Rhinolophus ferrumequinum: one gene and its partners. The protein of the gene in region 1 interacts with the protein of each later gene in a pairwise test. Links are inferred from orthologs where the notes say so. Each region holds a gene or a part of one and is shown on either strand. Other genes may lie near its edges. The genes, in order: SORBS3, TBC1 domain family member 22B, CPNE2 and VARS2.

What was found.
Region 2: the proteins of SORBS3 (region 1) and TBC1 domain family member 22B interact in binary tests that used the Homo sapiens proteins (3 or more experiments, as listed by UniProt). The link is inferred for Rhinolophus ferrumequinum from reciprocal best matches to the Homo sapiens genes SORBS3 and TBC1D22B.
Region 3: the proteins of SORBS3 (region 1) and CPNE2 interact in binary tests that used the Homo sapiens proteins (3 or more experiments, as listed by UniProt). The two-hybrid records come from large-scale screens. The link is inferred for Rhinolophus ferrumequinum from reciprocal best matches to the Homo sapiens genes SORBS3 and CPNE2.
Region 4: the proteins of SORBS3 (region 1) and VARS2 interact in binary tests that used the Homo sapiens proteins (3 or more experiments, as listed by UniProt). The two-hybrid records come from large-scale screens. The link is inferred for Rhinolophus ferrumequinum from reciprocal best matches to the Homo sapiens genes SORBS3 and VARS2.

Annotation. Positions count from the first base shown.
Region 1 is NC_046301.1:43,963,180-43,971,603, reverse strand, and holds the start of SORBS3 (vinexin), read left to right. Parts: upstream 1-5,237; 5' UTR 5,238-5,531; intron 5,532-7,877; 5' UTR 7,878-7,929; coding exon 7,930-8,031; intron 8,032-8,286; coding exon 8,287-8,404; intron 8,405-8,424. UniProt on the Homo sapiens protein: Vinexin alpha isoform promotes up-regulation of actin stress fiber formation. Vinexin beta isoform plays a role in cell spreading and enhances the activation of JNK/SAPK in response to EGF stimulation by using its third SH3 domain.
Region 2 is NC_046286.1:7,331,005-7,338,892, forward strand, and holds the start of TBC1 domain family member 22B, read left to right. Parts: upstream 1-4,693; 5' UTR 4,694-4,801; coding exon 4,802-4,857; intron 4,858-7,888. UniProt on the Homo sapiens protein: May act as a GTPase-activating protein for Rab family protein(s).
Region 3 is NC_046298.1:9,807,414-9,815,057, forward strand, and holds the start of CPNE2 (copine-2), read left to right. Parts: upstream 1-4,313; 5' UTR 4,314-4,514; intron 4,515-7,644.
Region 4 is NC_046286.1:1,474,256-1,481,643, forward strand, and holds the start of VARS2 (valine--tRNA ligase, mitochondrial), read left to right. Parts: upstream 1-3,990; 5' UTR 3,991-4,113; intron 4,114-4,216; exon of another isoform or gene 4,217-4,610; 5' UTR 4,611-4,637; coding exon 4,638-4,838; intron 4,839-4,973; coding exon 4,974-5,055; intron 5,056-5,168; coding exon 5,169-5,269; intron 5,270-5,550; coding exon 5,551-5,672; intron 5,673-5,762; coding exon 5,763-5,829; intron 5,830-5,923; coding exon 5,924-6,021; intron 6,022-6,734; coding exon 6,735-6,816; intron 6,817-6,983; coding exon 6,984-7,103; intron 7,104-7,388. Other genes in the region: GTF2H4 (general transcription factor IIH subunit 4), read left to right, coding at 18-129, 263-331, 524-607, 855-987, 2,097-2,227, 2,862-2,909, 3,070-3,148, 3,607-3,779. UniProt on the Homo sapiens protein: Catalyzes the attachment of valine to tRNA(Val) in a two-step reaction: valine is first activated by ATP to form Val-AMP and then transferred to the acceptor end of tRNA(Val).

The DNA of each region.
Region 1 (8,424 bases):
CAGCTCCTCCTGTGACTTTTCCGGCAGAGGCCGCTACTGGAAGGAAAGGAAGAAAGTCATCCTCACAAAAGATAAAAATAACTATCAGTAATTTAATAACTCTGCATGCGATCCTAATAATAGACATGGATGGAGTCCATCTTAGAAGAAGCTGAAGAAGCCAGAGAGGCGTTGAATGTGGAGTTGGACTCTTAAGAAAAGGAAGTGTCAGGCCAGCCTCTTGATTTCCTCTGAAAAGTAGAAAAATCGTGAGGTGCCATGGATGCACAAGGAAAAATAACTTCCACTGGGCAAGTGCCCAGGGCCCTTGGAGCGGCAAATGTGTCAGTGAGGGAATTCCATCGGTTATGGCAGCAGAGGTAGAAAGTCTAAATCCAGGGCCTGAGTAAGGCAGTTTGACTCTGAGGGCAGTGACATCAAGGGCCAATTTATAGGCTGGAAAGCGAGTCCAGATTTCTAATTTCAAATAAGCTGAGTGTACATTTTAGGACCTTTCCCAATAAATAGCGTCCCAACTTAACTGTGTCCTTACACCTCAGTTAAACCTTCAGTAAAATGAGGTAATATTTACTCTTTATTTCCAGCGTTGTGGAAAGACAGTTTTGTTTTAAGCCTGGAAATTAGGAACTCAAGTGCCAATTCACATTTACCTCTCACTCCACCTACATTTAATCCCCACTTTCTTGGCTGCTATATGTCATTGCGTGGTCTTTTTGTTTTTGTATCATGACTTGTAGGCTTTAGAAAGAAAGTCTGTTTCATTTGGCTGCAGTGGATTAATAACTGAGTGGTACATGAGGTAGCGGTGTCTTTCATGTTGCTGCGATCAGCAGGCTCATCATAGAATTCAAGGAGGTGGGAAGACAAGGTTATTCTTTGTTCGGAGGCCAGAGCACGACCTCGCGGTGTCCACTGGCCCACGACTCCCCGCTCTCGTTGTCCTCGGCTCAGTTATCTGCACTAGGGAAGAAGGGTGATGCAGACCTAGTTTTCCAGCTCCTGGTCTGTGTGCCTTTCGTGGCTGAGTTAACTTGGCCGAGTTTTCCCTCTGAGGTCATCGCTTATTTATCCTTGCCTTATAAAAATCTGCTTTCTAAAGAGCTGACAAGCACTTGCTCTCTCTTTCTTTCCTGAGAACTAAAAGAGGTCCATCCAGCTCAGTTCTTCTCAAAGACACCCCAGCTGCGCCTTGTGCTAGTTTGCTCATCTCTACAGGGAGGGAGAGAGCCAGCGAAGAGTGGCTGTGACGTTAGTGAAAAGGCTTCCTTGAAGGTAGACTAGATACTTGGACAAAAGGCCACGTTCTCTCACACCTTTGGGATTTCCATGTGATTGACGCTGAGAGGCCCGACCCCATAGATCCTAGTTACGTCACGTGTATGTGTGGAAACGTTTGTGAGAGGCAGGCCCGCAAGCCGCATTCTCTCTTCCCACGGGGATCCGCTCCCTCAGCCTGGCTGCCCGGCCCCTACTCCACCTGGACTGGGTATTTTTTCATCACAGAGATCCCTTACTTTTACAGTGACTATACCGAAAATCTTGGTTTCCAGATGTCCCAGGTCATGCTGTTGTCAGCTTAGGAGGGTCTTCTAAGTCTCCTAGTGGATCTTTTGTGTTCCTCTTCTGTTGCTTCTGTCCCCATGAGGTTTTGGCATAGACGGCCATCAGAAGAATTTGGCATTAGCAGGAGCTCGAATCAAGAGAAAACCCCAGGAGGATGAAACCCAGGGGATGAAACATGGTCCAGATTTGTACTATTGTTTCACTTGCTCTCTGTCGGCTCACTGTGGTCTTTCTCTCTAGAGAAGTCTCAACTCCTCTAAAGGGACAGTGCTTTCTTTGCTAATCCATTCTGCTCCGCTCACTCAGTTCCCCTGGCAGGAAGAGAACAATCTCTGGGAGCACAAATAAAAACCTGCTCAAAGCCTACCTATAGCGTATACAGAGTCTATCCCTGTGCAGGAGGAGAGAAGGAATAGCATATGCCCCTCCTTTGTCTAGTGTGGGGGCGCTGAGGCACAGAGCCAGGGTACCCCTTGGCTGCTCAAGGTAGATCTGAGAGTGACATTGGAATGTGAGGCTCCCCACGACAGATAAAGACACTCCCCAAGACGGGAGAGTTCAGCTGTATGTCTTCTGGGATCCCTTGCTTCCTTTTTCCCACTTGAGAAATAAAACTGAATTCTCTGTTCACCCTGCTCACAATATAAAGCTACTTAAGTGCTATTTCCATTCACCATTCCTCTGGGGGACAGAGGTTGGTTTTCAGAGTGACCTGCATTCCTGTAGGAACAGCCACCCTCTCCTCCCCGTCCTGGGGAAGAGCCACATCTATTGGTAGTCTCTTGGCTAATCCCGCCTTAGGGTGGTGGTTGTGGACAGACCTCTCTGTTGACGTGGGTGCCTTGGGGTGTAGTCCTCACATCAAAAGGAGGTGGGGGTGGGGCGTACTGCCGACCAGGATCAGATAACCAGGAAAATAGAGCAGTTATGTAACTGTGTTTACTATGGCTCAGGTGGCTCTGAGAAGGCAGAGGTGGCCCCTGGCAAAAGGCAGTGCCAGAGATGGGGAAGTCACAGGGAGGGAGGGCCCTGTTAGAAGATAAGGGAGTCAGGAAGATAGGGCATCGGGATGAAAGGAGTCTGCTCTGTTGTTAACAACAACACTCACCTAGGACCTCCTTCCCTAGCCACAGGCTCTCCCTGACCACACCAGCCAGCGGTCTGGGCCAGCAGCAAGTAGAGCTGAGGCTGGAGGAAGGAGTTGAGAAATCAGACACCTGGTTCTTGGCTAAATCTCTGGATTTTGCTACGTTTCCCCTTTAATCTCCCACTTTTCAAAGAGGAGGGACTCTGCTCCCTAACTATGGGCAGAAAGGGAGATGTCCGTCAAGGGGCCTTATGCTCTCTGCTCCCACCTCTATACAATCTCTCATCCTCTATACTATCAGGCTGGGGGGACACCAAGGGAACATGGTGGAGGGACCCTGTTATAGCCTCTCCTCAGGCCAAGCCCATAGCCTAAGACTCTGGGAAGGAGAACGAGTCCCACCGGTGCCAGGGCAAAGCAGGCTCTGAGCTGAGAGGTGACGAGCCCAGCAGAGCTCAGACCTCAGTAGACAGGCAGAGGTTCAAAACAGCTCTGGAGAAAAGCTCAGGTCTCCAGTGGGGCCTACTGTGGCTCCTGCAAAGCTGTTTGCTGGATTCCCTATTCCCATAGAGATGACACTGGTAACCAGTCCCCCGCTCCTTGCCCATGGTTGCCACTTTCCTTTGAGAAACAGGAAGTAGGGACCTTGGTCAGCTCAGCTGCACCCTCTACATTAAATATTTATCTTGGAGTCCAGGTCAGAGCCCTAGAGAATAAGAGAAGCTTGCTGCTGGCGAGAGTGGGCATGACCAGAATTCCTGGAGTTGGAAGAACTTCAGCGTCACCATCTTTGGAGAACAAGGAAGAACACGAACGCGATGTGTCCCTTCTTAGTCGTGAGGACTGTGACAGGTGGGGAACAAAACTGGTGACAAGGGTAATGGGCACATCTTTTGTCTCTGTGGCAGGGAAGAGGATGGTGACAAGGGGTGGGGAAGTAAGTGCCCAAGCTTTGGAGGAAGGAAAATGCCCTGCCACCAGCCCTCCGTGCTGCAGCTACCGTCCCTTCCCCATCCCTACAGTGTTCTGGGAGAATCACAGATTCCTGGAAGGGGCCTTAGAGGGGATCTCATTGAGCTCCCTGCTCAGTACACTAAGTGCCTTTACAAAGATGCCCCACAACGGCCAGACTCAGAACCCCGTAATCATTTAAAAGCTCTTCCTTGGAAACCTCCCATCTGCTTCCACGTGTGCACCCAATGGTCCCACTTGTGGTAGCTCAGCCGGCCTGTTTCCACATGCAGCCCTGCAGACAGTGGAGGCCAGCCAGCATCCTCTCTCTCTCTCCAGCTTCTCTTCAGCCAAACGTCCGTCCCCTCTTTGTGCTGTTCACTGGTGATATTATTTCACGCTGGTTCACCACAACCCAGGTCGCCCTTTTCACTGAATTGAGAAAAGATAAAGCTAATAGCATCAGTGATGGTAGGGAGTTTTTTTCTCCATTCCCTTCCTTCTCAACTTTTCAGTTGAATAATGTACTTGGAAAACACTCTAAAGTGCATGGTGGCCTCAGGGCACCAATCTTACACCCAGTACCTATGCAATAAATGTTTTCAGATGTTCGTAATTTATAAGTGAACACTCCCAGAATAGATCTGGTATTGCCTAATACCTCTTTGCTATTGGTTTGTTTGGGGGCTTGGCGTTCCCCAACCGAGCCAGGGACTAAAAGTACTCCCCTCCCGAGTCTTTCCATCAGCAGGGAACATTCATTGAGCACCCTCACTTCCTATCACAGGCTCTGTGCGTACACAGAGGCCTGGGGGTGAGAGGGAAGGGATGGGTGGCCAGAGGGGTCGGTAGCCAATGGGCGCGGGCTCCTGGGACCGGTGTCAGAGCAGCGGGAACAGCGGAAAAGCAGCGAGATCAAAACAAATGCGGTGTGTGGGAACACCAAGACCCCGTCACCCCATCCCCGCCAAAGGGAGCCGCCCTCATCCTCTTCAGGGGCGCGCCACGCCCGGGGGACCGCTCCATTCGGCCGGTTTCCTCCCGGGGCTGTCCTCCGCGGGGCTTGCACGTGTGTGAGCATCGCCCGGTTTGGCAGCGCCCGCGCGCGCGTGTGTGTGTTTGCACACGCCCGGACGCGCGCTTACGCAGGCCCCAAATCTCTCTCCCAAGTGCGGGGGGAGGTGGCGGGCCCCTCCCTTGGTCCGCTAGGCCCCTCCGCTTTTGGGGCGCCCTATCTCGGCACCAGCCCGTCTGCAGAGCGGCCCGTCTCCGGGCTGCCGGCTCCGTATCAGTGGCTGGCTGGACCCGGCTCTTTAATCCTTCGTGCCCTCGGTCCTGGCTCCGCCGTGCAGCGGCTCCCTTCCCACCCGCTGGAAATGTCGCTGGAAACTCTGAGTGGCGTTCCCCGCCCCCCGCGCCCGCCCCGACGCCAGCCGGGCGGTGGGGGCCGGGGAGGCAGCTGGGAAACCAGAGCGTGCTCCCCAGGGACCTTGGCGGCCCCTCCCGGCGCCTCCGCGCGGCCGGCCCGGCCCCCTCGGCCGGGGCCACAGCGTCCTCGCGGCGCGCCCCGACGGAGGCCACTCGCTCGCTGGGGCTGCGGACCCGAGCCCCCGCCCCGCAGGCCCCTTCGCCCCCGCCCCCCCAGCCCCCGGCTCACAGTCCAGATTGGAGGCAGGCTGACCGCCGCCCGCCCGCCTCTCTAGTCCTTCCTCCCTGCGCGCGCTCGGCCCCGTCCATCCCTCTTCCTCCTCGGGCGCCCGGCCTCGCGGAGACCGTCCTGACCCGGTCACGAGGGTGGACGGCACAGCCCGGACCGCTCCCTGCCCTCCCTCCCCGAGGGCCCGCCGCGGCCTCACCAGGCAGGAGCCCGGCCGAGATGCTCCTGCCCTCCCGGGCGTCCTCAGTCCCCTCCACCTGCTTGCCGTGGAAGGTAGGTGTCTGGAGAAGAGGGGGCGGAGAGGAGGCGGGGGCGCAGTCAGGGAGGCACCTGCCTGAAGGGAAGGCACAGAGCCCGCCCCCTGGGGTCCTCGCCCCAAACTCGGGGGTGGAAAGAGGTGAGAAGTCTCCCTCAAAACAAAAAAGTGAAATTGGAGAAAACCTGTCCTGTCCACGTGGACTCATAGCTGGAAAATACCCGAGAAGACACCTAGGGCTGAGCCCCCAAAGCCAGGGCAGTACTTGCAGGTGGGAAGGAGTCCCTGACCACAGCAGAGCCACTTTACCTCTTCCAGCCTTTTAGAGTTGGCTGCTGGGGTGAAGGACAGCCAGAGTGAATTCTGGGAGGACCCCCGAGATTTCCTGGCACCCTCTGCCCTCTGCCAGGTGCAGGACCAATTTCCTCTGGCGGGGCTGCAGGGAGAAAAATGTAGCCCGCCCTTCCCCACCACCCTCTTGCATGTCTCTTGGGGGTGTGCCACAAGGAGCAGCTTGGGGAGGGCCAGACTGGGCCCCCAAGGATCAGCCACCCCCAAAACTCAAGTGGTGTAAGGGAACCTCCTGCCCTCTCCTTACTGCTAGTGGGCTGTTCTCACTGAGCACAGCAGGGTGGGACAGATAGAGGCAGGGAAGGAGTCTGGGTCAGCTGACGGGTAGAAAAGACTGGTGCTGACCTCGAAACTTGGCCTTAAGCAGTCAGCTGGGCAGGGAGGGGCGTGGTGCTAGGAACCAGCCTGCTCCCGGCCTAGACCCTCTGGCCTCCCACTCTCCTCTGCCTCGGTTTCCCCTGCAAGGGGAGAGAGAGCCTCAGGAACTGGGGTGTGTCTGCATGTTTTGCTTTTGGTAGGAGTCCTAATTCAATCCAGCTGGTGCACTGTCCCTCCTCTAGCCTCAGCCTTCTACTCCCCCCAGAGCCAGGGGTGGGCACAGGAAAGCTGTGTCCCCAATAGGCCTTTCAAGGGTCAGAAGGAATCCCCACTCAGACCAGAGACAGGGAATTGCCATGGCCTTGTCTATACCCTCCAGCGTGCTCAGGGGCTGGGTAACCACAGCCTCTATTGTACCTGCATCCCCTCTGGTCTCTATAACTCTTGTGCTGCTTGTATGATTGCACCCTCCCCACACTGATAGCTGACACTCCTCTGGACCCACAATCCCCTTGATATTCACATGCCCCCACACCGTGGTACCCCCTCAAGTCCCATTCACGGCACTGCCCTTACATTCCAACACACACACATGGCACTTCACAAGGCCCTTGCTGCATTCCCGTGAGCCCCCAGACCCCACAGGCACACACAAGCCTAAGGAAACAAAAATGCCAGAATTGGTAGAGCCCCAGAAGGCGGCGAAGGTTGACTCTGCTTCTGGCTCAGTGCAACGGCAGAGGAGAGGAGCAACCAGCTTCTTACCACCGCTCTCTGGGAGGCAAAGCCCTGGTTGGCAGCCCCACTGCCTCCATCTCCTGGCTGCCTGACTTGCATGGGGCAAAAGAACCCAGCTGATCAGTCAGATTTGCTGCTTTCAGGAAGACCCTCTGTTGAAAAAACAGCCTGGAGGTGTAGGAAAAAGTGGGGTGTGTGTGTGTGTCAGCACCACCCCTCCACACACGAATCCATTGCTCTTAACCACTGCTTCGCTCTCTGCCCCCACCCCTCACTGGCACCTTGAGCCCTCTGAGGCATCAGTTTGAGCCAAAGAGGCCCAAAAAGGGAGCTGATACTCCTCTGAGCTCAGAAGGAGTGGTTCCTGCTGCCTGGAAACGCCCCCACGCTCTCCCTCTCCCTGGATCCTTGGACCTTCTGGGCAGCGGGTGGGCAGCCGTGCTGTTGCCCAGGGCCTCTTGCTGGGCCTGAGGAACCCCTGTGCCTGCTGGTGACGGGATGTTCACACAGGGACGGGCAGGAGGCAGAGGGAAGTGAAACAAAGTCCCGAGTGCCCAGGCCTCCTCTGCCAGCTGCCCCAGTTCCCTCTGCCTTCCCTATGGGGGAGCGGGCTGACTGTGCAGTGAGAGCCCCAGAGGGGCTGGCCAGCAGGCCCGCCTGAGGCTTTGTCCAGCAGGTCTGCTCCTGGCCAGCCTCCCCTCCTCCTCGCCCGGTCTCCCCTCCCCCACTCCCACCCGGAGCTCCTGCCCAGGGCCTAACAAGCAGCCCATTGTACCTCTGGGAGCCGGCACTGGCAGCCTGCAGGCGGGTGCCCGCAGTGGCCTGTTTCCTGGGTCCTGGAGCTCCCACTCAGCTGGCCCTGACCCTCTCCCACAGTTGTCCCCTCCTCCACCACCCTGAGGGTACAGGCAACCCAGGCCCAGCCAGGCTTTCCCTTCCTCCCTGTTTCCCCACAGAGGACCTGCAGAGGAGCTGGCACACCCGGAGTCCTCCGACCTTGACCCAAGCATGCAGGCCCCACCCTGCAGCCTCCCAGCTGGGCTCAGCCTGGATGACTTCATCCCTGGCCACCTCCGAGCCCACGTAGGGTCATCCTCCCGGGGGACACGGGTGAGTGAACAAGAGAGAGGGTGACTGTGGGCCCCTAGTTGGTGGGGACCTTGCAGGACAGGTGTGGAGCACAAAGATGAAAGGACGGGAGGGCGGGAAGGGGTTGGAAGATAGCTCTCGCTGGCTTCCTGCAAAAGGGTCAAGCTGGCTCCAAAGCCCTCAGCATGGGGTATGACTGTGCCCTGGCAGCCATCCCTCCCTCCCTACTGCAGAACCTTCTGGGCCTGAGCTGCTGCTCCTGGCCCCTCCCCACAGGTGCCGGTGATCCGGAATGGTGGCTCCAACACCCTTAATTTCCAGTTCCATGACCCCGCTCCCAGGACCGTGTGCAATGGGTACTTCTCACCAAGGAGAGATGCATCCCGGCACCCAGGTGGGTCTGCTCAGGAAAAC
Region 2 (7,888 bases), on another chromosome or scaffold:
ATAGAAAAAGTTTGCCAGCCCCTGGTTTATTGTATGACATATATTTCATAATAATTTTAAAAATGGTAACATTAAAAAGAAATTCCAGAAATAAAAAGATGTATAATTCAACCACCTAAAAAATTTGCTTAGTTTTTTCCTGTTTTCTTGTAGTCTTTGATAAAAGCTATATATTTTTATTGAAATCAGGCAAAGACATTGCACATTCTGCTCCCCCACCCTTGTACATCAGTTCATAAGCTTTTTTGTTGTGCTATGGTAGCATTCGAATTTGCACATTTTAATGGCATGGCATGGTTTAGGTTTACAAACCATACAGCATAACTTGTGTAACACCCTCCTCATGTTTACACCTTTATGTTCTTTTCATTCTCCCTTATTTTTATTGCTTACAAAGCAGGGAACATCTTTGCACGCAGAGCTTCGCCCCCCGTGACTTATTTTCTTAAAGTAAATTCTTAGGAAAGAAATTCACAATCTTCCCTCCCCCCAACTCTAACAACTCTCTCCTTCCTCTCTCAACTCTAATAACCGTTTGCTTCTTCAGTCTTTATGCTTATCCCTTTGCCTTCTATCACACAAGCGATCCATCTCATTTGGCTCTTTCTAGTGGTTGCTTAGGTACCAAAAAAGCTCTCTTGCTCTTACATCCCAGCTTGGCCTTACCACCCCTATGGTGGTCCAACATTCGACAGTGCATTGTGAGGGCTGCTTCTTGCTCTAACTTCTTAACCCTTCCTCTCATGACAGGGTCCACTCCACTCCCTGGCTGAGGTTAAAGTCTGCCCGTGTTCTGTTGGTAATGAAGTCCAAAGGCTTTTTTTTCTCAATTTCTATGTTCCCCATGGAAATACTGCTCTGGAATTTCCTCTCTATTGTTCTTCCTCTCCTCTCTCCTCTCCCCTCTCCTCCCCTCTCTTCCCCTCCCCTCTCCTCTCTCTTCTCCTCTCTCTCTTACATGTCTCAGGGTTATCTCTTCCATAGAACCTTCTCTAAGGATTGGGATATACCCACCTTTTTTGAGTCCACATTCAACCCATGCATAGCTCATTCCCTTAACTCTACTTGGCCCTAATCTACGTTGTTTTACTCTCCTTTGAATGACTATCAAGTTAAGGAATGAAAAGTAAAAACTTGCAGGCAGACCACATTGAGAGCCTTCTACTTAAAGTTTCAAGATAATCAAACCTTGAGATAAATTCAAGGATCGCAGGCCACACTGTCCTGGTAACAGAAGATCTACAAGGTGAGGCCCTCAGATTAGCAGCTTCAGTGTCACCTGGGAGCTGGTGAGAAACGCATCACCGTAGGCCCCACCTCAGACCTACTGAATCAGCATCTAGGCTTTTCACATGATCTCCAGGTGGTTCACATGTACATTAAAGCATGAGAAGCACTGGTCTAGTGGACCAGCGAGTGTCTGCCACTATAGCCTCCATCAAAAGTGCCCTAAGGATCCCTTGGGAACCTCAAAATAATGATATATACCTGTAATGGGGCAAAATTTGGTGTAAGGGTAATTAATCTGGCTGCCACAGTTACCTCCCCTTTGATGGACAGGGTTGATGCAGCTGATCTCTTGGACAGATGGGCAGCTTCCTTCCCGTATCATTCTAGGTATCAGTTCATTCCTTTGAAGCTGCAAAAGGGTTTGAAGAGGACAACCTTTCCCAAGAAAGGAAGACTGTTCTTCAACCAAGAGTACAGGCAAACATACGGAATCTTTGGTAAAGTGGAAGCATCCTAATGAGGTTTAGAAAATGTTTTCTATCATCTTTTCCAACAAAAAATGTGTACGAACAACATAGAACCAAAAGACAACAATAGTTTAGAGTCTTTAATCTCTCAGTTAACCACCTACCACGTGCCAAGCACTCTTCTAGATGCTGGGGTTATAGCACAGAACAAAACAGACAAAATCCCTGCCTTAGTGAAGTGTACATTCTGGAGGATGGAGATGGACAACAAAATAAGTAAGTAACATAGTAGGCAGTGATAGTACTTTAAAGAAAACTAGAGTGATGGAGCCTGCTAAATAAATCTTAAATAAGATGATGGTCAGGGAAGGCCTCCCTAAATTGAAGACATGTGGGAATGTACCTGAATGAAATGAAGGAGCAAGTCATCTAGATACTTGGGAAAAGTGAATTCCAAACAGAGGAAATTGCTAATGCAAAGGCCTTGAGATAGGAACATGCTTGGATTGTTCAAGGAACATCAAAAACGCCAATAAGTGTGGTTGGAGCAGATTAAGCAAGGAAGAGAGTGGGACCAAATCATGCAAGGTCTTTAAGGAGCTTAGGTGTTATGTCAAGTGTGATGGAGCCATTTCAAGATATTGAGCAGAGGAGTGATGTCTGACTGACATTTTAAAAGGCTCTCTCCGGCTGCTGTGGAGGGAATACACTCTAAGAGGGCAGGAGTAGAAGCGGGAGGCTTAATAGGAGGCTGCTGTAAGGATGTTGGTTGGTTTAGATTTGGGTGGTCATGGTGGTGGTGGTGGTGAGAAACGTCCCAACCATCTCAACTTCCCTGATAAAGACTATTTAATAAGTTATCACCAGACAACTGGAGTGAATTTTTAAAGTCTTGGATGGGAAACTGGCTTAGATGTAGAAAAGCAAGAATAGGGATAACAGGGCTCCTTTGGGTAGAACGGTGTTAACAGTATCCCCTGGAATCAGGGTTATTTAACATTTAATAAACAATGAAGAAAAAAGGAACACTTTGAGACATTTCTAAGTACACAAACTATACTCTGCTTGCCACATGTGAAATAGCAAGTTAATAGGGAGCTCTTCTGGAACATTTCTGAAGCTCTGTGAATAGGCTGGAAAGAGACAGGTGACTTGCCACATGGACAAGGGTAGGACAGCTCCTATAGGGAGAAATAACTCTGATGATACCTTTAAGATAATGACTTTGAATTGCCAGTATCCACTGAAGAAAGGATCTAGAAGTCACTGTAGATCATTTCTTCAAGACATCAGCTTTTATAAAGTCCAAAATGGCAGCAAAAGTTCTGGCTGTCCAGAATAAAGACAAAACATCAGCTTCAGCAAAACCTCAGGAAACCCCTCTTGGAGCTCAGTGTGCAGTGCTGGTCACTGTATCCTAAGGAAAAAAAAAAGAAAAACAGCCAAAGAAAGGCAGCTAAAATGTTTAAAAGATGAGAATAAACAGATAAGAGGTGCTTTTGTTTGATGGATTAAATGCTCATAAAGGTGAGACAAGATAAGATGAAAATCTATAAAAGCACAAAAGGTCCAGAGAAAGTAAAAACAGCTCTTTTCACAATCCCATGATTGTGAAATTAGGGGGCAAAAGAAGCTTCAAAATGGGGGTAATATCTATGTAGAAAGAGGCCACTGGAAGGCATATAAAAAATGTCCTTTAGACAAGGAATCCTTTAAGTATTCTCCAATATGTGAAAAGACATGTGGTAGCAGTAAACAAGCCACCTCAACAGTCCTTTGTTGGGATGGAAACTATTCTGACTGGTGTGTGCTTTCTGCCCACGCCCCTCATCACTGGTGTACAGCCACAGAAACTGAAAAAGAGCAAAAAACACTGACGAGACATTCAAAGGATTCAAAATGCTAATATTAAATCTCATTCTGGATTTAAAACTAGATTGAAAATAAAGTCAAGGGTGAAAAACTGATAATAGATTAATAAGAGAAATTAAGTCTGTTTGGGTTTATATCCTTACTCTTTGTGATTCACGTCATGGAGATATATTCATGCGTCCTCGCAAGAAACATTACTTGGTCTGAATTGGATGAATACTTTGTCAGCATCTGGGTTCTGGTCAGAAAGTGACAGTTATTAGATGAAACAGGGATTCAGGGGTGTCCAAACTGCGGCCCACGGGCCAAGTGTGGCCCAGGATCCATTGTTAATTGGCCCGCAACAAATTCCAAAAATATATTTAGTTTACTTAAATAAACCAGGTGAGGCAATACGTACTTCACCTCGAGTGAGTGGCCCGGCTGTGTGTGTATTTTACTGCATATGGCCCTTGGTGAAAACCGTTGAAAAAAGTTTGGACACCCCTGGATTAGATCATTTGAACTTCACCCACAGCACAGGTCCTTCAATAGTGTTCAATGAACAGAGGAGAAGAAGATTCTCATGAACCAACCGTTACTCACGTGTTGAACAGTCAGCAACCATACGCTATCCAACCGTATTGATCTTCCTTCACAGATTAAAATATATATATATATATCGGGGTCCGAACCGAAAGGGAAACGGAGGGTAATAACCAGTGTCACTGAGCTGGGTGGGAGATTTTAAAATGGGCTGCAAATAACACATGGGACCTCATTTTTAGGTCAAGATTTACGTATATAAATAAATACATATGCTTTCTCTTCCCCAAAAATATTAGACTCCAGAACCTCATTCCCTCCAAAGAAAACTGTACCCTTTCCTCTTCCCATAGGTCCTTCACCTGCTTCTTCCAGGTTAAGGAACCTTCAGTCCCGCCTCCCTGCGGGTCCGAGCTCCGCCTTCCCGGTCCACCTGTGCGCCCAGCCCCTGACGTCACCGTTCGGCTTCAGCGGCTTGCAGGATTCCGGCTCCTGATTGGTTCGTCCGACCACGGCCTGGCAGTCCACCAATGGCAGCGGCGCTGGGTGGGGAGGTGCCCATATCCAAGATGGCGGTCCCAGCACCTAGGAGCGGGTGACCGGCAGCGGGGGAAGTGGCCTGGGTTGGCCCTCCGATTGTGGGGTCCTGGGGGCATCTCGCCGAGTACCCCCTGGCCCGCCTACAAGGCCTTCCCCGGGCCAGAGCAATGGCTGCCGAGAACAGCAAGCAGTTTTGGAAGAGGAGCGCCAAGCTGCCGGGGAGGTGAGCCCAGGAGCTGAGAGGAGGAAGAGGGGATTGGACCAAACCCTTCCGGATCCGAAGCCCTAAATCTCGCGGGCCTGGAGCTCCGCCGACCCCGGCGGGCTGGTTTGGGCAACGTGGGCTGGGGGAGCTGGGGCTGCCTGGTGGCGGCAGGGAAGCTGTCAGGATGAGGCGCAGGCAGCAGGGTTTGGGGACGGCTGGTTGTGGGAGCAGCCCCGGGTCTGGGGGTGGAGGGCTCTGGAGGGGCTGCCCTCAGCCAGACGGTGGCCGGAGTCCGGGCGTAAAAGACCCTGGAGTGGGATGAGTAGCCTGTGTCCGTCCTGGATTAGGAGGGTCAGCCCTGGAACTGCTTCTCACGTTAAAGAGAACTCTCTCTTGGGGGGGGGGTTGTCTCCCCCACACACAGGTGGTTGTTTGGACAAGGATGGCCCCTTCCCCTGCTCCTCCAGCTCTGCACGTAGGAACCTTTTTCCTGGATTCCAGCAAGGTTCTGCTGGGAGCTTGGGACCCTCTGCAGGGGGACAGGAGAAATGAGGAAAAGTCTCAGGCCTGACCTTACTTCATCTTCAGTTGGCCTTTTCCCATTAGGAATTATTACAGGGTGACCCAAGAATTGAGGTTATTTCTTTAATCTTTTCTAAGGATTTATTCAACCCCAAGTAACCCTTTACCCTCCTGCGTTGTATCGTTCTACTAAATTTTTTCGTTGTTCAGTTGATGGGTTGGAGAGCAGACCTTCTAAGCTACTTTTTTTTTCCTTTTTGATGTATGTTGAGACCCTTAACAATTGTACATCCTTCCATCTGCTGTTGGTTTACAGTTTCAATTTGTTTTGGGCAGAGTCCTGAGATGTATAAGGAGGAGTGAAGGTTCCGTCGTGAATTTAAGATTTCTGACAGCCATAGTCTGCTTGGTGATGAAATTCATGTGGGTTCCCCCACGTGCTACCTTTCCTCATTGATTGGGGTCTTTTCTTTCTGGGATAATCCTTTGAACTTGTGACCTTTTTTTTTTTTTTTTCCAATAGCAAGAGAGAAAGGGTCAATGGTGGCTATATAGCAGACTTATTTTATTTAGGATCCTATCAGACATATGGAGAATGGTGGGACTCAGCTACTAGTGACACAGTATTAAAATAATGCAAGGGAATGCAGAGATAGCTTCAGATGAAAGTGCTGTGGAATTACAGTGTTAATGTCAGTGCTAATGACTTCTATGTTTTTAGATAAGCACCACTTCCTGCCAACTGATTCCTTTTCCTTCCTGGTCTAGTGAGCTCTCCAGTCTCACTAACTGTTGTTCTCTGGGGTTTTCCATAGTGAGATCATTAAATGTTGACATCCTAAGGTTATAATCAGAATCAATGGGAGAACTGTTAAATCAGGAAGCAATAGATGAGATGTGGGACATGGCACGGTCTTTTGTGCCTGCTGAGTGCTAGTTGTTATTAACAATCTTTCGTTTTGTGTGTTTCCTATTTTGGACTATAGGAGCAGTCACCTTTTTTCAAGGCACTATTTTTGCAAGATAGAAAGAGGAGTCTTTTCAGTTTTCTCAAGTTTCTGGCTTCCTTTTTCATTTTGAAGAGGAATATAGAGGGATAGAGGAGAGATCATTTCAGTTCAGAAAGACTTGGGTTATTATTTGGACCCTTTTACCTGTGTGATTAAGGACAAATGGTTTGCTCAATTTCTCGAGGCTTCAATTTCCTGATCTATGAAATGAGGATAAAAATACTTTCCTCAGGGTTACTGTGAGGACTTAATTTAACATCCTATTTGTAAAGAACCAAGGACAGTATTTATTTAGTACATTATGGTTGCTCATTATATACTAGTAATTAGTATATTCTTACTAATTATTCTTACTACTATTATTCTTAATACTACTATTATTCTTACTACTAATTATTCTTAATACTACTATTATTCTTAAAGCAAATAAATAAACCTTTACTCAGATCCTTACCCTGGTGCTGGGTATTTATGTTCATTGTTTATCTTGAGACATCAAAGTGTTGCCATGATTGACAGTAGTTTTTATACCTTGCTTGTTGAGAGGAAGTATTGTTTAGTTATGTGTTTTTAGCAGGGAAGCCTCCAGGATCCCCTGGTTATGGGGACAACTAGTTTTAGATCGTAAGTGCTTTGATTTAAGGAAAACGTTAGGGCATTTTCTCAAGAATATAATTTTTGCACTTGTACTCTTTCTGTTTTAGTGAAGAAACACTTTCTCCTGGGTGGGGAAAGACATAGACAACTGTGTTTAGGCCCCTTGCAACCTAAAAGTGACACTAGTTTACTTTTCTTTGCGAACTGAAAGGTAAAAATTCAAAGCAATCTCAGGTTACTTTCAGTTGCTTTGATCGTTATCCAGCAACCTTAATGACAAACAAATAGGAATTTTACTTAGTAAAATAGCCTAAGTTCACAATGAATTAAACAGTTTTTTTAAAAAACAACCGCTTTATTGAGATGTAATTCACATACCATAAAAATTCACCCACTATTCAGTGGTGTTTAGTGTATGCATCTAGAGTATGATGTTTTGTACAACCATCTCCACTAATTTCAGTACATTTTTGTCACCCCAAAAAGAAACCTCATATCCATTGGTAGTCACCCTTCATCCCTCCCCACCATCCTCAGCCCCTGGAAACCACTAATCTTCCTGTTTCTATGGATTTACCTTCTGGACATTTCTTATAAATGGAGTACTGTGATATGAGGCCTTTTCTGGATTCTTTTATTAAACATGATGTTTTCAAGGCTCATTCGTATCACTATTTTATTCCTTATTATGGCTAAATAATATATGGTTGTACCTCATTTTGTTTATCCATTCGTTAGTTGATGGACATTTACATTGTTTCCACTTTTTGGCTATTATGAATACTGCTATGAAATTCATGTGAAGGTTTTTGTGTGGATGTATGTTTTCCATTCTTTTGAGTATCTGTAGGAGTGGAATGGCTGGGTCATACGGTAACTTGGTGGAATTAAACATCTTTTTAATGATATCTCAGTCATAT
Region 3 (7,644 bases), on another chromosome or scaffold:
CAAATTTTGAGACTCATAATCCCACAGTTGTAGCCCCAGTTTCCTCATCTGTACAGTGAGGGGATGAGCAAAATTAGGCAAGGCACAAGGACCTACTTTCTCCAGCTACAGAGACGACCTTATGGTTCATGTCCACTCCCTCAGGGAGGGTTGTGACTCCGCTGTCGCCTGCCTTGCATGGTTATAGTTTTGGAGCTCCACCATCCATGACCTCCTCTAGACCCACAGCCACAATCCCAGTAACAATCGTCCCCCATTTCACAAATGAGAAAACTGCAGCCCAGTGAGGAACAAGACTTGCCCAAGGTCACACAGTGAGTATTTAGTGGAGCTCAGATTCCGACCCTGGAGCAAGAAGGGAAGGAGGATGTTGGGGTGGTCCCAGCTGGGGATTTAACTCAGTGGATCTATGCATTCCTCAGAGAGTAGAGCCCTGGGAAAGATGAAAGGGCTGTGTGCCCTTCCAGGCCCTGCTTCTGCCCCAGCCCTACCCCTGCATGGCCACAGCCAGGCCTGAGGGTGGTGGCCCCAGCTGGAGCTGGACACGCCCTTCGGACACAGCTGGAGCTCCCTGGAAAAGACCTTACGTTGGCTGGTTTGGGTTGGGCTGGTGATCTTCCGGGGACAGCTGGTCTTCCTCCCACCCAGCCAGACACCTCATGAAGCACCCCATGTGTCTCTCAGGCCCCAGAGCTGGTGTCGTCCTTCACCTTTGGCCTTTGGAAGCCACACTTTTTTGTTCATCCCACACAAGCCACTGTCCTGCCTGGCTGCCCAGAAATCAACCTTTGCCCTGAGGAGAAGGCGACAAAAGAGGCTTCCCTAGAGAACAAAGGCCAACTGGGGTCCCCGGTTGAGTCACCTAGGTTAGAAGTGTCCATCTCCTGGGCCAGGGCCTTCGTCCTCACCCTCCCGCACCAATCTCCAGTACAAGGTTGGGGCTGATGCAGGGGTTGAGGGTGGGGCCTGGGCATCCTGACCCTGGAAGGGGGCATCCTTCTGTTGGAGTAAGTGAAACCTTAGAACTTAAAAATGGCAATAACAACACACTAGCCCTGGTGTCTAGCCATGCCTGGTGCCATGCTAGCCACATTCGGGTCTCACTGAATTCGCACAATCATCCATGAAGCAGGTATGAAATCTATCCTTCCATCTTACAGAGGAGGAAACTGAGGCCCAGAGGAATGAGTGATTTCACCCAGGCAGTAATTGGAGTGGCTAGGAGTCAAACGGGGCCCAGACTCTATGTCTGAGGTTTGATACTAGAGTCAGCCACACCCACCTCTAACAGTGAAGTCCTGAAGGGGATATCTCCATATCAACCCCCCCTGGCAGATGGTGTTTTCCAAAATGGCCACCACAGTATCTCCCATCCCACCTGCTCTTTCTACAATGTGACAGTTAACACTCTTCTCACAGAGAGGCGGGGTCTCTGGAGTGGAGACTACAGCAGAAGTGACATTATGTGACTTGCAAAGTGAGGTCCTTTAAAATATAATGCTTCCACCTCATGCCCTGGGATGCTCACTCTGGGAACCCAGCTGCCATGCTACATGGATGCCCAGGCCACATGGAACGGTCATGGGTAGGTGTTCCAGCTGAGGTCCCAGCTGACAGCCGGCACCGATTCCAGACGTATGTGTGAGAAAGTCTTCTAGATAACTCCAGCCTCTGTCAGGGTCTGATGCAACTGTTTGAGAAATCCTGAGCAAGAACTGCCCTAGCTGAGCCCAGCTGGCCCCCAGAACTATGAGAAATAATAGGTTTGGGGTGATGTGTGTTCTATAACTGGATCACCCAGGGCCTGGTACACAGAAGGTGCTCCTTCAAGTGTCTTAAATTTACAAGCACACTGAAGTGTATAGGCAGCCCTGGTTATTCTGATCTGTTTGTCCAGACAGCCTGGACTGTGCAAATAAACCCCCAGATGGCAGGCGCTTCTCTCTCTCTCTCTCTCTCTCTCTCTCTCTCTCTCTCTCTCTCTCTCTTATATAGGCCTATTTAGGGAAATGCAGGCCTCCCGCTTGTGCAGAGAGGTCTCTCCCAGGGTGAGGAAAGACATTTTGCAGTAGCAGCCTTACGTCTTGTGTGGGTTGAGGACAGAGTGTAGAATCAACTGATGGAACCCTTGACCTTATCGACTGTGACCTCTGGGCTCTCCTGATCCCTGACTCTGTTTTAGGACAGTTTTATTGAGGTGTAATTCACATACTATAACGTTCTCCCCTTTAAAGTATACAAGTCAGTGGTTTTGAGAATATCTACAGTTTTGTACAACCATCACTACAATAATTGTAGAATATTTTTAATCACCCCCCTCTCCAAAGAAACCCCGTACCGACGGCAATCACTCCCCATTCTCTCCTCCAGCTCCAAGCAACCACTAATCTGCTTTCGATCTCTATGGATTTGGCTAGTCGGGACATTTTACATAAATGGAATCACACAATACATGGTCTTTTGTGACTGGCTTCTTTCACTTAGCGTGATGTCTTAAAAGTTCATCTATATTGTATGGACAGCAGACCTTTCTATGGCTGAATAATATGCCATTGTATGGATAGACTACATTTTGTTTATCCATTCATTTATTGAGGAACATTCGGGTTGTTTTCACTTTTGGGCTATCCTGAATCATGCTGCAATGAACATTCCTGCACAAGTTTTTGTGTGGACACGTTTCTATTTCCCTTGGGTAGATACCTATGAGTGAACCCTGGCCTTTGTATTCTGTCCCCTTGGCCAGCGATCTTATTCCCCTGGGCAGGTCCAAATACCTCATCCTCAGGTCTCCTAGAAGAAGCCTCACTGACCACACTGGCTGAGTTGGTCTTGGTGCCACCCTGCCTCCAACCTTTGCATTTTTTATCCTGTAATATCATTGCCTGTGTCATGGTCTTGCCCCAGGGGGAGGTGAGCAAGTTGAGGGGAGGGACTCCTGCTCTGGAGCAAATTGAGGAGAGGGATTCTGCACCCCCCAACACACACACACACACACACACACACACACACACACACATCAATCAAGCACCACTTCCTGAAGGAAGTGGGGCTGCAGCTGGGTCTAAAAAAAACGCCATAGATTGATTGGCTTGCCCCACAGCCAGGCTGCGGACTTTGAGGGCTTTGGGTGGAAGAAAGATACAGAGTTTGGAGAAAGGAAGGACGGATGGTAGACACTAGGGCAGAGAACAAAGCTCAGAGCCCTGGGGTTTTTTGGTGGCCACCCCTCTAAGGCTGCAAAATGCCTGTGACTCAGATGTGGAGGGAGGTTGCCGGCTGCAGTGTGAATCTCCCAGTTAACCCTCACCTGCCTGAAATGGAAGTCCCACAACCCAAGCGCTGAGCCTTAACTCTCAGAGTCCCCCAGGGCCAAAGGCTGTGGATATGGCCTTGAGATCTTCCGGACAACTCCGTCCCCCACAATCTGGTTAAATGAGGCTAGGTTGTCTGAAGCACTGAATTTGCTGGGGGAGGGGGCACATAAATACCTTTGAGTGGCCTGCAGTAAGAGCGCCCAGCGATAGACGCATTTCTTAACAATTGGTTCCTCTCCTAGGGAAAGACCTTTGCAAAAGGAGGAGTTTCAGCTCCAAGGCCTTACGGACGCATCTACTTGCCCTCTCGCTGACTAGCCCCAAGCACTGTTCAAATTGTCTTTATCTTATCGTCTTTGTCAGTGAAATATGTGTAATTTTCCCAGCCGCTGGTGACAAGAAAATACCGAGCTCTTGCACTATCGGTAAAAAAAAAAGAGAGCGAGAGAGAACACTGCCGTCCTGGTGTTGCCCAGTACGGCCCAGAACCAAGCCCTGTAGAGCATCCCCGAGGGCGCAGCGCTGAGCCGGTCACCCCTTGGAGTCGAGGCCGCGGGCGGCGTCCTGGGGCCCCAGAGGCCCTGGCGGAGCCTACCCCACGGTTCCCGCGTCGGTGGCCCTGAGCGCACCGTGCTAGGAACTCGGAGGTGCCTGCGGCTCCGGCGAAGCCAGCCTGGGGAGGGTGCGAACCAGCGGCGTTCCGATCGGAGGAGTCCCAGCCTGGCACCATCGGACTCTTGGAATCTGGCCTCGAACGTTCGGACCCTAGGACTTAGGTCTCGAACATTCGGGCGCCCCAGGCGCTGAAAGCCGGGAGTGCCAGGGCGCGCCAGCCGCGGGCTAGGAGCCGCGGGCAGCGGGCGGGACAGCGCCCCCGCCCCGCCCGTTAGGAGCGCTCGCCCCTCCAGGAAGCGCGGCCTTGCCTCCTCACTTCCCTCCCCACACCCGCGCCCCCCCTCGGCCGGGGGGAGGAGCCCGAGCCGCCGCCACCGCCCGCCGCCTGGCCCGGGAGGAGGACCGGACCCTGAGCGGCTGGGAGCGCACGCGAGCTGGCCATGGCCGCGCGGGCAGCGCCCTGAGCCCGTCCCGCGCCCGCGGGCCCGGCCGAGCAGGGGAGAGCCCGGGAATGCCCCGGCGGCCCGGAGCGCGGGTAGCGGCAGCCACGCCGTGAGGGCGGCGGCACCCCCGGGACCCGCGGTGAGTGGGGCCCGGGCAGGCCGGGGCGGGAGAGGTGCCCTGGCGCGAATGCTCAAGTTCGGCCTTGGGGTTCGGCTTCTGCGGGGGTGGAAGAAAGCTGGGTTCCGCCTCGGGGGACTGTGGCACCCCAAGCCCCCGCCACCCGCGCACACCCAGACTCCGGCGTTTGGGTGACTCAGCTCGGACCCCGCCACTCGGGGGCGCTCGGGCTTCACCCGGACTGCGGAGGGTAGGTAGCGGGCAGGGTGCGGGAGGTAGGTAGCGCCCTCGGGAATCTGAATCCAGCTGTTTTAGGAACCTTCCTACCTTCCTGAGGAGCCTGCGGGCGTCCGGAAGGTGGAGTCCCCGCCACGATCGCAGCTGCTGAAGACTTGAGGTCGGGCTGGCTCCTGACAGGCGTGGGCCCCTCTCCTTGTCCCCATACCCAGCTCCACCCCCAAACCCACCCCCAACCCCCACCTCAGGGAACTGCCCCGGAAGCGGGGACGGAGAGAGGGAGTGGAGCTGGGCAGCTTCCCAGAAGTCAGAGTGTGTTTGCAAACTAGTTTTTTTCACCAAAGCTGCCTGGCACGGCACCTGTGTGTTTGGGGGTGGGGGGCATTTAGAGAGAGAGGAAAAGGCTCTTTCTTCCTGCCCCCCCTTCCTTCGCAGCGCTGCTTCTCTGAAAATGTAGGGGTCTTACTCTCCCCTTCTCTTCCCATACCGTCCTCCAGACTCCCTTCCCCACCTCCCAGTTCCACAAGCCCTCCTTTGGGGAAGGAACTCCTTCAAAGGGGGCTGTGATTTGCCCAGGGTCACCAGTGGTAGTGGAACCCGGGGCTCTGGTAGCCAGTTGGGGGTTCATCTTGCTGCCTGTGACCCCCCAGCCCTGTTATGTGCTGGGGGAGTGACAAGGGCAAGAGATCCGGGAGAATCATCTGAGCGGCCCTTTGTTTTGTCTGCACTTAGTTTTTCCTCACCTCGGGGTGTCGGCTGTTACCAAGGGGGGGGGGCTTTTTCTGTTTGTTGGGGCACCCACAGCTTCAGTAATTGGGGGGAGGAGCCTAGTTGTAACCTTGGGCCTGCAGCCTGTATGTGGCCCACCCCATAGGGAGCTTTGGGAGACCTTGGTCTGAACACCCAGCCAGCAGTGCCGGGCCCTGCCTTCCCCACTGATACCCTGCCTCTGAGCTGTGGTCCTCATCTGTAAAATGGGCCTGTGCACCTGGAGGCTAGGAGCAAACAGAAAGGAGAGGTTTTATTGCAATCCCTCTGGCACCAAGCCCAGTGACCCAGTGAGTGCTGGCACTGCCCCAAGCAGGCAGGCGACATAGCTGGTTGGCATGGGAGGGGGTCACCCAGGCAAGTTTCTTCATGGAAAGAACCTGGGGCGAAGAATGTGGACACATGGGTTTTTCTGACCCTCTGCCACTTCCTGTCTGTGTGCCTGTCACCTCTTGGGCTTTGGGGTTTTTCCATCCATAAAATGAAGCAAAGTATGACACCATCCAGTTTACAGAGCTGCTGGGAGGCTGGAACCAGGGGACCCGGGGGACACGTGTTCTGCAAAGTGGGATGCACTTCATGAGCTGGAAGTAAGGTGTCTCTGGTAATGTTTCAAGAGACCTCCCTCCCAGAGACCATGAGAATGAAAAACTCAAGGACTTAAGAAGAGGGTCAGGAGAGAACCGCAGTTTCTGTGTCCTAAAGTAGTGAGAACAATACTCTATACCTCTATAATCTTTTAGGGTACTTGTGTATTTCTTTAAAGGTACGTGGTTGTGAGAATTAAATTAGCTGACAAAGGGTTCCTGTGCCAGCACTGTGACTGGTCCATGATAAGTGCTCAGTACCCACGACAAATCAGTGTCATTGTTCATGGGAAGAAGATTAGTACCCCTGATGTGGGTAACTGCATTCAGGCTTCCTGCTGGAATTTTTCTCAGGCCAGCCTGCTCTTCCCTCTCTGCCTCCTCTGTGGAGAGATGAACCTCAGAATCCAAATGTCCGACTCCTGGGCTTTTCCAGGGGCAGGGTCCTGAGCAGAGAGGAGAACCCCAGGGGGAACGGTAGCTCAGTGGGTGTTCCCATTTCCCCTCGTTAGAGCCCTCCCAGGGCTCTAAGGAGTGACAGAAAACACCAGTATTCTTTTAAGAATTCCCCCACCTTTGTCTGAGCAGGGAGAGTTGTTACCAGGTAAGGCCCCCTCCTGAGAGGGGGGGGGGGGGGGGGGCTCCCCCCATTGTCTAGTCTGCCAGATAGGGGTCTCCCACTCCCTTCCGCTCATCCTTACAGGGGCTGCTGAGTCAGGGGCAATCACTTCAGGAGTCCAGCCCCTCTGCTTTGGAGAATATGGCCTCAGAAAGGGGGTGGGATTCCCTCCCCTCCTGCCCAGCCCCCTGCAGGACATCGTGGGCTCCTTGAGAGCTGGGAGGCTGGGTCACTAGGATCTTGGCAGGCAGCTGCGGCAGAAGACAACAATCTTATCCCACCCGCACTGTCCAAAAGGCAATACGGGATCCTGAGGGGAGGCTTCCTGAGGCCGCACCATTCCTGAGGGCTAAGCCAGGGTCCGAGGCGCCTCCTGGCTCCCAGCCCAGTGTCTCCTCCCCTCACTGGGCCACCCAGCCTCTACTCCGTCAAGTGCACTGTGCTGTTCATCCCTGGAGCATGTTTGCACTAGGCCTGTCCATACTTCTTCCTCCAGGGTCTGAGATGACACGAGCCACTAATTCCTCACTCACTAGCAAATCCCCTTACTTAATTTTTCTCGAGACATTACAGCTCTACAGCCATTTATTCCTTGACCTGTCAGCTGATTATCTGTCCTCCTCCCCAAAGAGTGTCAGCTCCATGAGCCAGTGAGGACAGTGTCCCTCGTGTTCACGACTCTTGCCCTGCACTTAGATAGGCGCAAGTAAATGTCAGGTCGATGACTGAATCGCCCCTCATTGTTGCCTCCTGTCAAATGGGTCTGTGAGGTTGGGTGATGGAGTCATGAGCTTGCCCTTTGGGGTCTTTGGAGGGAACCCTGTCTCCCCATGCCGAGTGCTGGAAGGCCATCAGAGGGCAGTGGACTCGCTAATGGAGGAGGGCTAAGTGCTGACCCGGGGACCAGGAAAAGTGTGTGGCTGGGAGAAGGTGGGATCAC
Region 4 (7,388 bases), on another chromosome or scaffold:
CCTCTCCACGTGTCTAGTACCGAGCCCGGAGAGCCTCCCTGCATTACCTCTGCTGGCTTCCAGTTCCTGCTGCTGGACACCCCTGCCCAGCTCTGGTACTTTATGTTGCAGTATCTACAGACAGCCCAGGTGAGGAGTGCAGCGTCTGCTTGTGGGTGTGCTCTGCTCTTCTCAGGACACACCGAGAGATTACTGCCTACAGACTGCTCCCTGATTTTCTCCCTCCCATCCCGTCCCCTTGTCTGTGCCCATTCCTCCCTAGAGTCGGGGCATGGACCTAGTGGAGATCCTCTCCTTCCTCTTCCAGCTCAGCTTCTCTACTCTAGGCAAGGTAAGCAGGGGCTGGAGCTGGGGGGTCGGGTGGGTGGGCCGAAGGGGAGCGAGATGGGGAGGGCAATGGGGCTATGGGGCAATAGAGTGAAGTAAGAAGGAACAGCCAGAGGTGGGAAGACGGAACGAGCTTGTGGTTTGGGAGAGGGACATGGGATGTGTTTGGACCCCAGCTGCTACCTCTCTTCCCCAGGATTATTCTGTGGAAGGGATGAGTGATTCTTTGTTGAACTTCCTGCAACATCTTCGTGAGTTTGGGCTTGTTTTCCAGAGGAAGGTATGAGCACCCAAATACATGGCTTCTAGGGAAGAGGCAGGGTGGTATGGGCCTTGGCCTTTAGAAAGGTGTGGGGTTTCAGGAGGCAGCGGGAAGCGGTTGCCAGGACTGAATACCTGGGTCCCTTGGGGGAGAGAAGTGGGGAGTTGAGGTTCTGCACTGGGAGGGATCTGATGTCTTAGGAAGGATGATGTCGGGCGGTGACACTTGAGAGGGAGCCCTCTGCCTTTCTCTCCTATCCTTTCAGAGGAAATCTCGGCGTTACTACCCCACCCGCCTGGCCATCAATCTCTCGTCAGGTGTTTCTGGGGCTGGGGGCACTGCGCATCAGCCAGGCTTCATTGTCGTGGAAACCAATTACCGACTGTATGCCTACACGGGTGAGGCAGCAGAGGGCCCCTGGGAGAGCAGGTTGGGGGTGGGTTGTGAGAACAGGTTGCGAGCAGGTTATGGAAGGCTAGCACCAGGGGAAGGGAGCGGGAGGGAATGCCAGTTTTTGTTCAGATTACTGGGTACTTTATCTTTTCTGACATGTCTCATCACACTTGAAGGAAGGGATCCAGGGAGTCTGGGTATGGGGTCAGCCCCCTCGTCTCCTCTTCCTGTCCCTGGGCATGGGGTCAGTCTCCTCGTCCCCTCTTCCTGTCCCTGGGCATGGGGTCAGCCCCCTCGTCCCCTCTTCCTGTCCCTGGGCCTGGGGTCAGCCCCCTCGTCCCCTCTTCCTGTCCCTGGGCCTGGGTCAGCCCCCTCGTCCCCTCTTCCTGTCCCTGGGCCTGGGGTCAGCCCCCTCGTCCCCTCTTCCTGTCCCTGGGCCTGGGGTCAGCCCCCTCGTCCCCTCTTCCTGTCCCTGGGCCTGGGGTCAGCCCCCTCGTCCCCTCTTCCTGTCCCTGGGCCTGGGGTCAGCCCCCTCGTCCCCTCTTCCTGTCCCTGGGCCTGGGGTCAGCCTCCTCGTCCCCTCTTCCTGTCCCTGGGCCTGGGGTCAGCCCCCTCGTCCCCTCTTCCTGTCCCTGGGCCTGGGTCAGCCCCCTCGTCCCCTCTTCCTGTCCCTGGGCCTGGGGTCAGCCCCCTCGTCCCCTCTTCCTGTCCCTGGGCCTGGGGTCAGCCCCCTCGTCCCCTCTTCCTGTCCCTGGGCCTGGGTCAGCCCCCTCGTCCCCTCTTCCTGTCCCTGGGCCTGGGTCAGTCCCCTCGTCCCCTCTTCCTGTCCCTGGGCCTGGGTCAGCCCCCTCGTCCCCTCTTCCTGTCCCTGGGCCTGGGTCAGCCCCCTCGTCCCCTCTTCCTGTCCCTGGGCCTGGGTCAGCCCCCTCGTCCCCTCTTCCTGTCCCTGGGCCTGGGTCAGCCCCCTCGTCCCCTCTTCCTGTCCCTGGGCATGGGGTCAGCCCCCTCGTCCCCTCTTCCTGTCCCTGGGCATGGGGTCAGCCCCCTCGTCCCCTCTTCCTGTCCCTGGGCATGGGGTCAGCCCCCTCGTCCCCTCTTCCTGTCCCTGGGCCAGAGTCAGAGTTGCAGATCGCCCTCATCGCCCTCTTCTCGGAGATGCTCTATCGCTTCCCCAACATGGTGGTGGCGCAGGTGACCCGGGAGAGTGTGCAGCAGGCCATCGCCAGTGGCATTACAGCCCAGCAGGTATTCTCACTGGGGAAGGGGGTGGCAGGAAGGCAGGCTGCACTGGGCTGTGGGGCACAGGGGTCAGCGTATGGAAGGCTAGCACCAGGTCTGACATTAAGGTGTGGGGAGATGGCTGAGCAGACAAGGCACAGGAGGTGTCAAGGTGTGGGAACAGGCAGACGCGAGGGGGGAAGAACATGGAGGGAGGAGGTGTAGCTCTGGATTTGTGTCTTGGCACCGCCACTTCCTAGATGCATAAAGAGCCTACTTGCTTCATTTCTCTCAGCTGTAGTTTCTTCAGCTGGAAAAGGGAAACAATGAATTTTCATCTCACCGGGTTGTTGGGAGGATTCAGTGTGAGAATAGCAGTAAAACATTTAGCTCAGAGCCTGCCACACAATAAGTGCTGCTATTTTAAAGAGAAACAAAAGAGACTACGCAAAGGGCAGATGTGCCAGAGAAGGAATAGCAGACATGACCAGTGGGAACAGTAACTTGGGACAACAGCTGAGTAAGGAATGGGCTGACAATAGTCATGTACCTATGAGTTTTTAAACAGTAAGTGGATGCTCCCGTGATATCGGGTGACGGCCAAAGTGGCTTTCCTGCCCTCTTATTCGAGTCTTTGATTGCATTCTTGTCTGTTTTCTAGATCATCCATTTCCTAAGGACAAGGGCCCACCCAGTGATGCTTAAACAGGTACAAACAGGTACCAAGCTGTGGGAGGCTGACAGCCCCTGGCACCTGGTGATGAAGTGATGGAAAAGAGAAAGGAACAACCAAATCTGGGGAATGCGTGGAGGGCTGCGGTTGTTCGTGCAGTCTTCCAGGATCTTACAGCCATGCCTTGCCCCTGCAGACACCTGTGCTGCCGCCCACTATCACGGACCAGATCCGGCTGTGGGAGCTGGAAAGGGACAGACTCCGCTTCACTGAGGGTGAGTGGCTTCTGATGGTCGGTTGTTGGTCGTTGGCCAGAGGAAGGACAATTCAGTCGTGATCATTTTATTTACTTTTTGTTTGCTGTATGAGCTGGGAGAGCAAAGCTGGCAAGATACTTTTTATTTTGGGGTGAGTCGGTGGTAGTAAATAAAATGTCTCAAATCACTGCAATTTGGATTTAGCAAGAAGAGGGAAATTGGGAGGGATAATTCACAGTAATTTCTCTAGGTTTGGTGAGCAGTGGGTTTTCTTACTGTATTTTATTGCCTTCCTGAATATGGTTGGATCACACTAGTGTTCAGATGAGCCCTGGAAGAGACAAGCATAGAGGATTCGTTTTTAAATGGTGGTGGGTGACAAGGCCAGCCCACTGCCCTGAGGCTGCCACAGAAAGGCTCAGCGCCTCACGTTCTGGCCTTCTCTCTCCCCACCTCTCCCTTCCTGCGGACCCCAGGTGTCCTGTATAACCAGTTCCTGTCGCAAGTGGACTTTGAGCTGCTGTTGGCCCATGCGCGGGAGCTGGGCGTGCTGGTGTTCGAGAACTCGGCCAAGCGGCTCATGGTGGTGACGCCTGCTGGGCACAGTGATGTCAAGCGTTTCTGGAAGCGACAGAAGCACAGCTCCTGAGAGCGCGGACTAGGACCGGGCGGGGCGGGAGGCGGGCGCGGCTCCGGAACTTAGGGTTTTTTAACTCACACCTGGGGACTCTAATTGTTTAATAAAGTTGTGAAAATGAGCCTCGCAGCCCCGGACGCCTCCCCACCGAGCTGCAGCTTCCCGCTGCCGACGCGCTGGCACGGGAAGGGGGTAGGGCCGAGCAGCCCTCGCGCATGCGCCGGGCCGGGGCCCTGCCTCCCGGCGCCGCGCGGTCGGGTTCCGGGGTCGGTTGCTGGAGTCCCATCCGGTGCTGCAGCCGCTGCCGCCGCCGCTGGGCGCCCTGGGGTAGCGGAGGGCTCGCCCGGTGAGCGCGCGCCAGGGCGGCCTCCGGGGTGCGGGGTGGGAGGCGCTGGCGAGCCTGGGCCCCCACGGTGGGACGCGTGGGAAGGCCGGGCCGCGCGGGTCTGGGGGCAGCGCGGGCGGCGTCTGGGCAGGCCGAGATCGCGGTGACTGGCGGGACTCTTGCCGGCTCTCGGGTGCGCTGTCGGTCACCTCCCCAATACCGAGTCCTTTACACTCCTGTGTGCCGGCGGTCACTCCCACGTCGCACATTCATAGGTTGAGGGCCAGAAATTAAGTCTTCCCCAGAAGAGCCCTGTTTCTTGCGGCTCCAGGATCCTGTTACTGTGGACACCACGCACTCTAGTCCACATGGAGGAAAGGTTGTGTGGGAAGAGCTAGATACTTAAAATAACAGACCAGATCTAGTAGGCGGCAGAGAGTAAGGAATAGGGTGTGACTTCAGGGGATGTGACCCTCCCACGCCCCCGTATCCTAAAGTGCTTTGTCTGTCGGGAACAGATCTTGGCCCCGTTCCAAGCACTCCTGATGCCTCATTTGCCTCCGGCCTCCTTCCGACACTCACTCTGGGGGCTGAGGTCCTCACGGGGCCTCCCCAAGTCCCATCCACTCTCTACACAGTCAGAGCCCCATGGTTCCCCCATCTCCCGGAGGAACCGCGAAGCCAAACAGAAGCGCCTGCGGGAGAAGCAGGAGGCGCTGGAGGATGGATTAGCCTGGAAGAGCAAGGTTAGAGCACAACTTGCCCTTGGGTCTGAGAAACTTGGTGGGGGGATGGAGAAGGGCTGGAGGAGAGACTGGCTGGATCCCAGATGCCTGGGGTATACTGGGAACTGCATTCCTCCTTGTGTCTCCTCCCCGTAGTCACCTGCAGAATCCAGTAAGGCCTGGACTCCTAAAGAAATAGTGTTGTATGAAATCCCCACGGAACTTGGTGAAAAGAAAGGTAACTAGGAAACTTGAAGGCCTTTTCGCTCACATTTTCGTTTCCCATTTGGTCTGCTGAAATGCAGTCGGGGAACAAAGTTGAATTAGTGGAGCTCTGCTCTGCCTCCACAGATGTCTCCGGGCCACTGCCTCCTGCATACAGCCCCCAGTATGTTGAGGCTGCCTGGTACCCTTGGTGGGTACGAGAGGGCTTCTTTAAACCGGAATATCAGGTTAGTGCCTGGCAGGGAGGGGTACTGAACAGTCCCCAGGACAGATTGGCCCATGAGATTGGTGGGTGCAACTGAGCCTGAGTCTGGAGCTCACAGCCACATTGGAGAGCTTGTCTCCTGCCCCTGGGCTCTCCAGAACATTCTCTTGGCAGGTTTCCCTTTCCCTGTTATTTGCTGGACAGTTCTGCCCTGCAGAACTGCTGTGGGGACACCAGAGGGTACTATTCCTCCAGGTAACATCCAGTCTTCTCTTGCCCTTTGACTGTGCTCCTTCCTTCTAGACCAGGCTGCCCCAGGCCACAGGGGAGACCTTTTCCATGTGTATCCCCCCTCCTAACGTCACTGGCTCCCTGCATATCGGGCACGCACTGACCGTGGCCATCCAGGATGCTCTCGTGCGCTGGTGAGGGGATGCGGCTGCCTGGGTTCTTGAGGGGAAGGAGGGAGGGTAAACATGTAAGGTCGGATTCGTGTGAGGGCATTTCTGTCACAGGCACCGGATGCGTGGAGATCAGGTGCTGTGGGTCCCGGGCTCAGATCATGCAGGAATTGCTACCCAAGTATGTCTTTTGCCACTTGTCCTTTTCTTGGGTGAGTTTTCTTCCTCCAAAGCGACCTGATTCTTTGTTTATTTGCCCCCTAATCTTACTGTAGGCTGTGGTGGAGAAACAACTGTGGAAGGAACGAGGAGTGAGGAGACATGATCTGAGCCGGGAAGATTTCCTCAGGGAGGTGTGGAAGTGGAAGGAGGAGTGAGTATGACGGACATATGAAGGGGCTGAGATCGCAGGTTTGGGTCCTTGTTTCCTAGTCACGCTTCTAACTCGTAGTCACTCTTCCCATCCAGCCCTAATTTCTCTAACTTCCAGAGACTTAAGCTCTGGAGCCTCTTAGCATTTGGTGGGGTCGCCAAGCTGTGTGTGTGTGTATGTGATACATGAGGATGTGTGTCTATATATGTGTGTATGTGCAGACACACACACACACACACACACACACTTCCCTCCCACCCCCACTTATCACTTATCTCATTTTCCCATTCTCTCTAACTCACCCCTTCCCACCTTCCATCTACTTGAAATTACCCTCATTTAGGTGTGTTACTACATGCCATCTTCTCTGTACAGTTTCTGTAGATTTCCCATGAATCGGCTGCCCCTTCCTCTGTTACTGTGAACTTTATGCTTTTGTTTTTTAAGTGTGTTTTTCCAGGACCCATCAGGTCCAAGTCAAATAGTTGTTTTCAATGTAACTGTGGAGGGTGCAGCTCATAGTAGCTGGCCACCCCCTTTATACTTCTTTTAGTCATAGAAGGTTCCATACTGGGTTCATGAGTCTGTCTCCATTGGCTTCTGGAGGCTAGATCAGTGCCATACTCACTCCAGCCCCAGCATTGCTGGGGTGTCACTGGCCTGGTACATTGTTGGTGCACGACACGTTTGCTGACAAAAGTCTCTCGGCACAGGAAAGGTGGAGAGATCTGTGAGCAGCTGCGAGCCCTAGGGGCCTCCCTGGACTGGGACCGAGAGCGTTTCACTATGGATGCTGTGAGAGTTCCACGGCTGGTTCTGTGGGTGTTGGGGAGGTGTTAGAGATCTGTGCAGGGAGGCGGGTTGCTGTGTGTGCTGGGGTGGCAGGATGGGAGTGCCCGGGTCCCCAGGGGGGTGAGGGGCTGAGAAGGGACTGTTGGATGTGGACACACAGGCCATTCTAGGGCTCCGCAGTGGCTGTGACCGAAGCATTCGTGCGACTCCACAAGGCAGGGTTATTGTACCGGGGCCGGCAGCTCGTCAACTGGTCATGTGCTTTAAGATCCGCCATCTCGGATATTGAGGTGAGGCAGAGAAAGACAAGCCGGTTGCAAGACTGGGTTTGTGAGAGACTCTCCGGCGGGTGAAAGCTCAGGGTCTGGAGCCAGCCTGCCTGGATGTAGGTCCAGGCCCTGCCACCTACCAGCTGTGTGTTCCCGTGGCTGTTAGCCTCTGTAAGCCTCAGTTTCCCTAGTCTGTAAATTAGGGCTGATGGGAATGCCTGCATCCTGGGATGCTGTGAATGAAATGAAAACTCGTGGAAGGTGCTCAGCTCGACACCTGTATGTGGTTTAAGTGCTCAGTGAATA